Linked DNA regions of Oryctolagus cuniculus. The protein of the gene in region 1 interacts with the protein of each later gene in a biochemical or structural test. Links are inferred from orthologs where the notes say so. Each region holds a gene or a part of one and is shown in the gene's direction. Other genes may lie near its edges. The genes, in order: NUFIP2 and FMR1.

What was found.
Region 2: the proteins of NUFIP2 (region 1) and FMR1 form a complex in vitro, tested with the Homo sapiens proteins (2 studies listed by BioGRID and IntAct, with this or other methods). The link is inferred for Oryctolagus cuniculus from reciprocal best matches to the Homo sapiens genes NUFIP2 and FMR1.

Annotation. Positions count from the first base shown.
Region 1 is NC_091448.1:44,719,010-44,722,823, reverse strand, and holds part of NUFIP2 (FMR1-interacting protein NUFIP2), read left to right. Parts: coding exon 1-373; intron 374-3,814. UniProt on the Homo sapiens protein: Binds RNA.
Region 2 is NC_091453.1:126,438,705-126,443,273, forward strand, and holds the start of FMR1 (fragile X messenger ribonucleoprotein 1), read left to right. Parts: upstream 1-1,599; 5' UTR 1,600-1,821; coding exon 1,822-1,872; intron 1,873-4,569.

The DNA of each region.
Region 1 (3,814 bases):
TTGGTTTCACAGGGTGCTGAAATAATCCCCTCAGGAACTGAGCATCCTGTGTTTCCCAAGGCTTATGAGCTGGAGAAACGGACTAGTCCTCAAGTTCTGAGTAACATTCTAAAATCTGGGACTACTAATGAGAGTGGAGCCTTATCCTTGGAACCCAGTCATATAGGTGACCTGCAAAAAGCAGACACCAGTAGTCAAGGTGCTTTAGTGTTTCTCTCAAAGGACTACGAGATAGAAAATCAAAATCCTCTGGCCTCTCCTACGAACACTTTGTTGGGCTCCGCCAAAGAACAGAGATACCAGAGAGGCCTAGAAAGGAATGATAGCTGGGGTTCTTTTGACCTGAGGGCTGCTATTGTATATCACACTAAAGGTAACTTCATTTGTTTCTTATACAAAGATTCTTACTGTCTAATTTATTTTTATTTGTATTAAGAGTAAATTTTGAAAACTATGAGCTGCTTTGCAAAGGTTAATTGAGAATGACAATGTGGATAAGAACCCAATATCAAACTCTTTAATTCAGGGTCTTTGGAAATAGTATGGTTAAACTTGAGAAAGAATGAATGTTCGTTTTTTCCTACTTAAAAACATTATCTTATATGGACAAGTATAAATTAAAGAGAGGTAGGCAGTGCCTGCCCAGAAGGGTGACATTATATTATCTCATGAGTTCTTCAAAAATTTTTTTCTTTGGGTATATGTTCCCTGTCTCTTATTTTTTGTATTATATGCTTAATTCCAAAGTCATTTAATATTTTTAATTTGCCTAAAATGAATAAGAGCAGTATTTTTGAAGAAGGGTCCAAAAAAGATGGAGTATCAAACTTTACATCTTTTATAAGAAGGAATAATGTGTGCTGAATAGTAACCAGAAAATAAGTTAAATCCTTAATGCAAATAGTGAGGTGTAACAAATGATATTTATAAACTTTTTGCTTTTTAGGACAGTGGTTTTTAATCTTCATACCTTTTCCACCTTTGTTCCCATACCCATGTCTGCATGGACACAATTAATAGATACTGCACATTCCCATTTTTAACATGGCCGTTTAGGCATGATTTGGAACTGCTGGGAAGAATATGCATATCAGATTGTGGGTATGAGGTAATTACCATATTTTCCCTGGAAGAAATCATTGCATCAGAGATGAATAACAAAGCTTTTTATGTGACTTGAGCAAATTTCTTAATCTTACATACCTTTCCTTCTCTGTGAACAAAAACATTTATTTGGTACAATGAACTAAATTGATCTTTTCCTTAAAAAGTGGAAAGCAGTAGAATTGCCTTATGGACGTTAAGGGACAAGAATTCTGGCAGGTAAAATTCACCTGCCTTCACTTGTTCTCTAGTTCTGCTCTTGGGAACTAACCATGAGGTTTACCCTGGAACTGGATTTATTTTTTTAGGGCTGTAAGGGCAAAAAAGAAATACTTAGTTCTATTTAAATTAAATTCTACTGGGAGGGTAGGGTGTCATTTTCTGTGCCATCTGCCCTTCAAATAATGTTATTGGAAAATGTTTACCAAAGTGTCTAGTGGTGGTCATTGTGTAGGCCTGAGAAGATATTTGGTTGTGTTATATTCTGCTACCTCAAAATTTGTGGGATCTGTTCTACTAGGTAGTTGATTAGTTGTTTTATGTATGATTCTCTTTTTTATTATGTGTAATTGTAGGCCTTTTTAAATGAGAGCATTAGTTTGTATTCCAGTTATTCTGTGTGCATTCCCTATATATGGGCTAACTAAAATCAGTGATTCAGATAAACTAAATGTGCCATATAGATGCAAATGTGTTTAGTTTTGCTGGTATTACTGAAAAGATTTTCTTTAGTAAGTTTGTGTATTAAAATGAATCAGGTTGATATTGATTGTTTTTCCCCTGGAACAACAGATAATGTTCAGTTTGGGTTCCAGAGTGGCAAGTTCTTTGAATTGCTGCCAAGTGTTGATTGGTCCATTAGTGATCAATTGGTTCGTTAGTTTTCCCTTTACTTGAATTGGTTTTAAGTTAACCTTTTGATCATCTGAATAACTTTTTATTTTTTTTTAAAGATTTATTTATTTATTTGAAAGGCAGAATTAAAGAGAGGGCTCACTCACCATATGGCTGTGACAGCCAAAGCTGTGCAAGACTGAAACCAGGAGCCAGGAGCTTCTTCCAGGTCTTCCTCGTGGATACAGGGGCCCAAGCACTTGGGCCATCCTGTGCTGTTTTCCCAGGCACAGACCTCTCTCTCTCTCTCTCTCTCTCTCTCTCTCTGTGCCTCTCCTCTCCCTGTGTAACTCTGACTTTTTCCAGGCTGAATCACAAGTGGAACAACCATGACCGCTACACCACGGCACCGGCCCCTAAGAGCATTTCTTTAGGTTATTTAGAGAGAACTGCCTGCTGATTCACTCCCAAGAGGCTGCAATGACTAGAGCTGGGCCAGGCCAGTCTGAAGTCGGGCACTTCATCTGGGTCTCCCATGTGGTTGCAGGAGCCCAAGCACTTGGGCCATCTCTGCTTTTCCCAGGCTATTAAGAGAGCTGGAGCAAAAGTAGAGCAGCCGGAACTTGAACCTGTACCCTTATGGGATGTCGATGTCACAGGCGTCAGCTTTACCTATTACACAATAATGCTGGTCCTGGAGTGGTGCATTTTTAAAAAAAAAAAGATTTCCCCCTATCTCTTTAACACTTTCAAATAAATAAATAATTTTTGTGTTAGGTTTTGTTTTTTAAGGCAGAGCAACAGAGAGGGAAAAACAAATATTCCATCTGCTGGTTCAGTCCCCAAATGACTGCAACAGCCAGGTCTGAGCGAGGCTAATGCCAAGAGCAAGAACTCCATCCTGGTCTCCCACAGGGGTGGCAAGGGACCCTATAATATTAACCATTTATGTGTGTAGTTCACTGGTCTTAAGTAACGGCTTATAACTATCACAACCATCCATCTCAAAAATGTTTTAGAGGCCAGTGCTAAAAAAGGTAAAGCCACCGCCTGCAGTGCCAGCATCCTATATAGGTGCTGGTTCGAGTCCTGGCTGCTCCACTTCTGATCCAGCTCTCTGCTATGGCTTGGGAAAGCAGTAGATTGCCCAAGTGCTTGGGCCCCTGCACTTGTGTGGGAGACCTGGAAGAAGCTCCTGGCTCCTGGCTTCGGATCAGCACAGCTGTGGCCGTTGCAGCCAATTGGAGTGAACCAGCAGATGGAAGTCCTCTCTCTCTCTCTGCCTCTCTTCTTCCTGTGTAACTCTGACTTTCAAGTTAAATAAATAAATTTTAAAAATATATACCTATATAAGCAGGCCAGCACTGTGCCGCAGAAGGTTAAGGCACCATTGCAGTGCCTTATGGGCTCCCATTCCAGTGTTGACTGCTCTACTTCATCCAGCTCCCTTCTGATGCGTCCGAGAAAGCAACGCAAAATGGCTCAAATCCTTGGGCCCCTGTACCCACATGGGAGACCTGGAAGTGACTCCTGGCTTCAGCCTGGCCCAACCCTGGTCTTTACAGCCATTTGGGGAGTGACTCATAAGAGGAAGACCAGTCCTGAAACTGACTTTCAGATAAATAAGTCTAAAAAAAATACATGTAAACGAAGGTTATGCCCATTAAACGGTAACTCCATTCCTTCTTCCCAGGCCTTGGCAGCCATTATTTTACTTTGTCTGTTTTGATTATAAGTAGCTCATAAGTGGAAGCCTATAGTGTTTCTCATTTGGGAACTAGCGTATTTAACTTAAGCATGATGTTCTTGAGGTTCATTTCTGTTGTAACATGACAGAACATCATTCTTTGTAAAGGCCAAAATAATAGTTCAGTGT
Region 2 (4,569 bases), on another chromosome or scaffold:
CATTTTAATCAATATATCCCTTTTACCTTGTTGGAGCTAAAGACAATCCTCTGCTTGCATCCAGCATACGGTGAAATTGTCTTTCAGAGCTAGTGGTATCATCACATCTCATGAGTACTCCAAATACCGTAGTCCAGTAGGTCATTTCCATTTAGTATAGCCACCAGGAATGTGGTCCTTATCCTACTAGTTTAAAGCTGAAGTTCCACAAGCAGCAATGTTGTTGCTCTGGCTGGGGGGGTGGTGGGAAGGGAATCGGAGGCCTAAAGATGCCTCATTCTGGGGCACCTGCCTGGGGAAGTTCATCTCACTTACCCCAACTAAGTGCTGCCAGTTAACTCGCACCTGTCACACTTCAGCTGAAACCATTTCCCTTTGGCTGCCCGCCCCTCCCCAATCCCAGACTGGGTCAGTTCCAGTATCATAGGGGTGTAATTATTCTTAGCCCTTATCACAGTTGTAACTCCACATTTACTTTTCTGATAATTTGCTTATGTCAATCAACTCCTATAGTTCCAAGTTCAATGTTGGCAGTCTTTTCTTTCTCTTTTTGCTCATCAATGTTTCACTAGCACTTAGTACAGTGCCTGGTACTTGGTAGGCACTCAACAAACTTCTCAGTTGGATACAAGAACTCCAAACAAAGGAAACAGGGAGAGACAGGTTCACACACACAGTGCAGAGGCAGGAATAAGGAATTAGGCTTGGTTTTAATGGAGCAGGGTCAAGGGGGAGAGATGCAAGGAAAATGTGCACTGGTCCCTGTGGACAGGTCGCGAGACTGCTACACACATACCCGTCGTCTACTCTAGTAGAGGATGGGCATAAGTAGGAGCAGAAATGAACCATAAAGGAATTAACCAGTGTTTAACACCCATTCTATTTTCACGTATGTCAAATTAATTATGAAACTGAATTGAGGAAAGGCTAACATTTCCAGAGGTCCTGAGGCAATGTGTTACCCATCAAAAGGCACAGGATGTATCCAGGGGACAGTCCAAAGTCTCTTGTGGGAGCAAGGGCGTTACTGTTTGCCCGCTGTTTTTATAGGTTGCATGAGGCTGGATTACCGTTAGCTGCCACTGTTACAAATTCAGTTTTCGCCAAATTCTTCACCTTTATTCTCCTCTGCTCATTCCACTTCCAGCTCAATGCAAAAAAAAAAAAAAAAAAAAAAAAAACCAACAAAAACCACAAACAAATAAAAAACCAAACCAAACGAACCGTTTTGCTCCAGTCATAGCCAGGCTGAACTCCAGTAACTAAATGCAGTCGACCGCTGCGAGCGGCCCTTTCTCACGACTTCCGACTTCACTGGCGCCTCTACAGTAATGGGCGCTGAGGCCTCAGCAAGCACACGAGACGGCACAACCTGTCACCGCCCTTCGCGCCTTCCCGCCCTCCGCCGAGCTCGCGCACGCCCAGCCCGCGCACCCCGACCCGGCATCCGGGCTGGTTCCCAGCAGTGCGCATGTGCGCGCTCCTCGGCCCTTAAGGAGGGAGAGGGCGGGGCCGAGGGGGCCGAACCCGCGGGGGGAGGGGCGGTGTCGGTCACGTGACTCGGTTTCACTGTTTACACGCGGAGCGGGCCGAGCTTTCAGCCTCAATCAGGCGCTCGGCTCCGTTTCGGTTTCACTTCCGGTGAGGGGCCGCCTTAGAGCGGGCGGCGAGCCGACGGCGAGCGCGGGCGGCGGCGGTGACGGCGGCGCCGCTGCCGGGGGGCGTGCAGCAGCGCGGCGGCGGCGGCGGCGGCTGGGCCTGGAGCGCCCGCAGCCCAGCTCTCGGGGGCGGGCTCCCGGCGCGAGCAGAGCTGACGAGAAGATGGAGGAACTGGTGGTGGAAGTGCGGGGCTCCAATGGCGCTTTCTACAAGGTACTTGGTTCCAGGGCAGGGCCCATCTTCGTTCTCCCTTTCCTCCCTTTTCTTCTTGGCGTCGGCAGGAGGCAGGCCTGGGGCCCTCTTCCCGAGTGCCGCGCCCGGGGCCAAGGCGCGCTCGGCGGGATGTTGTTTGGGAGGGAAGACCGGACCTGGGGCCTGTAGGGAGCCCCGCTCCGTCTCCGCCCTGCAGCTTATGGGAAGGAAAAGGAACCTAGGCGAAGTGGGGGCCCTTTCGGGGACAAGACCCGCCAGGGAGAGATGAGGATGGGGCAAAAGCCGGCGGCAGGTACGGGATCCTGGCGGGAAGGGCCGAGATCGGCGCTAAGTGACGGCGACGGCTTATTCCTCCTTTCCTAAATATCCTCTGGGATCCAGGCCTGACGTGTGGGTAGTTGTGGAGGAGCAGGGGGCGCTTCAGCCGGGCCGCCTCCTTCCTGGCCAAAGAGGGTTTAAGGTCTCCTTTGGCTCCTCTTTTCCAGTCCATCATTGGGACTTCGGAGAGCTCCCCTGTTCTGGGCAAGTAAGGGGTGCAGAGACAGAGTAAGAAGTGGTAGTCAGCACTCAATCACAATGGCAACTGATTTTCAGTGGCCTCTTTTTGTGGATTTCAGAGGAGATTTTACACTCAAAAGTTTCAGGAAAACCCTAACATCCGAGCAACAATGCATTAAAGAAGTTGATCGTCGGGAACGTTCACAGTCCCCTTGCCTTTATATAAATGGAGGTAAATTCAGGAATACACACGCTTCAGTCTCTAAAAAGATGAGCCGTTCTGCTGCTTATGTTTTCCTGTTTAAGTCTCCAAAGACAAATATATACCACACAGAAATTAACGGAGAGTTTAGGATTACTAGGGAATTTTTGAAGACCGTTTGGAAATATTTGCTCTGTGCTCTTAAGAACTTGACCATATTTTTTTTATTTATTCTCTACCGTTGCAGTGGATCTAACTATTGAGATTTTAAAAAGGCATTCATGGATTCACTGTCTTTTTAAGTTACATCATTGCAGCTCAACTATTAACATTTTTAAAAAGAACATTAAAAGTATTTTCTTGTATTGGTAGTGTTTATTGGGATGCACTTACTGTGTAGATCTAGTAATCTCTAAGTTCTTTTCATCTTGAATGTAACTTCTGTAAATATCCCACATGACAGCAGTATTTTAGCAATAGAAGATGCACATAGTAGTATGAAAAATAGTTATTAAACATAATGTGTTAACCAGTTTTGTGGAAACGTTTGGACTTCAACATGTAAGTGAGTAATATATATCTGTTCTATGCTTTCTGCAAAAAGAAACCTCTTACTGTACAAAGAAGCAAAACTGCACAGCATTTATGTTCTTAATCTCACCAATATAAAGCAGTTTCAGTTGACGCTGCAGTCAAAATTTTAGTTGCATTTATTTCAGTGATCCATAGTTTCTGCTTGTTTGTGTAGAATCTTTCTGGGTCCTGGATTGATAGTTTTAGTCACTTGTTTTGTGGTATTAACTATTAATGTATACATATGTGCATATATCTGTGTATGTATGTATGTATGCATATGTATATATACATATAGTAATGGTTAAGTAGTACCCTAATCTGTAATATCAGCTTAGATTAGCTTTGGCTCTTAACTCTCTTTTAGTGAAGTTTGCTTGCCATAGAGAGTAATTAAAACATCCTGGTCTTGAAAGATTTTTTGGCTCACGTGATTTCGTTTGTAAACTGTCTGGAATATAAGAAATATCCTCTGCCTTTTGTCATTGATCTTCCCTTTCTGGGTTTCATTTTTTAACAGAGTCACTAAATTTGAAGGTGAACAAACAAGAATGGGTTGTCCTTTAGTTCCCATTGGGGAAATATAATACTTGAATGACTATAGGGGAATTTTTTTATGGTTTTTAAATTAAGGTTGATTTTTTTAAGAAAACCTCAAATGGTCTATATTGATGGAAACATGGTTTTGATAAAGAAAAAAGGTTTAAACCTTTATATAACTTATAATATTGCTTTGAGTTAGAAAAGTAAAGCAAAAGTAAAATAAGTTCCTCATCTGGGATGGACAGGAAGGATGGAAAGTAAAGATCAATTTAAAAAATGATCACCTGGAGAAGTGTAAAATTTTTAGAGAAAAATGGAACATTGCTCATCAAGTTGATTTAAAAAAGTCTTCAGAAACTAAATAGATTAAACAACTTCAGGGTAATTTGAATTCAGACGTTGCTGTGCCTGGCAGAACCACCATATTCTGAAGGGCAGTTCTCCATCTTCTGAGTACATTGTCCAAGTTTGCAGTATCAACCACGGATAGATTGTATACTGAAAAATGTTTGATTCTTTCTCTAAAAAATAACTCGAGCTTAGGATTCAGTATTAACAGAACTATGAAATCTAAGCCCCAAGATGCAACTGTTCTATTTCTTTGCCCTTTGGTGTTTATTCTTAAAAACTTTGAAATTGGGTTTGGTAATCGCCAGAGCCACTACTTTTATGCTTAAGTACTTCTCTCACTTAGTAAAAGTTGATTACATGTATCACTCACAGAATCCTATGGGTACCCTAAGATATAAAAACACTGTGGCTTATACCTTATAAAATCTTTATGGAGCATTTCCTAAAGGATGGTATTAATTCTAGGGGTATCTGCCCCAAATTATGTAGTTTTCTTTGGACTGGGAGTTCTGATGTGCTGAGAATGGTAA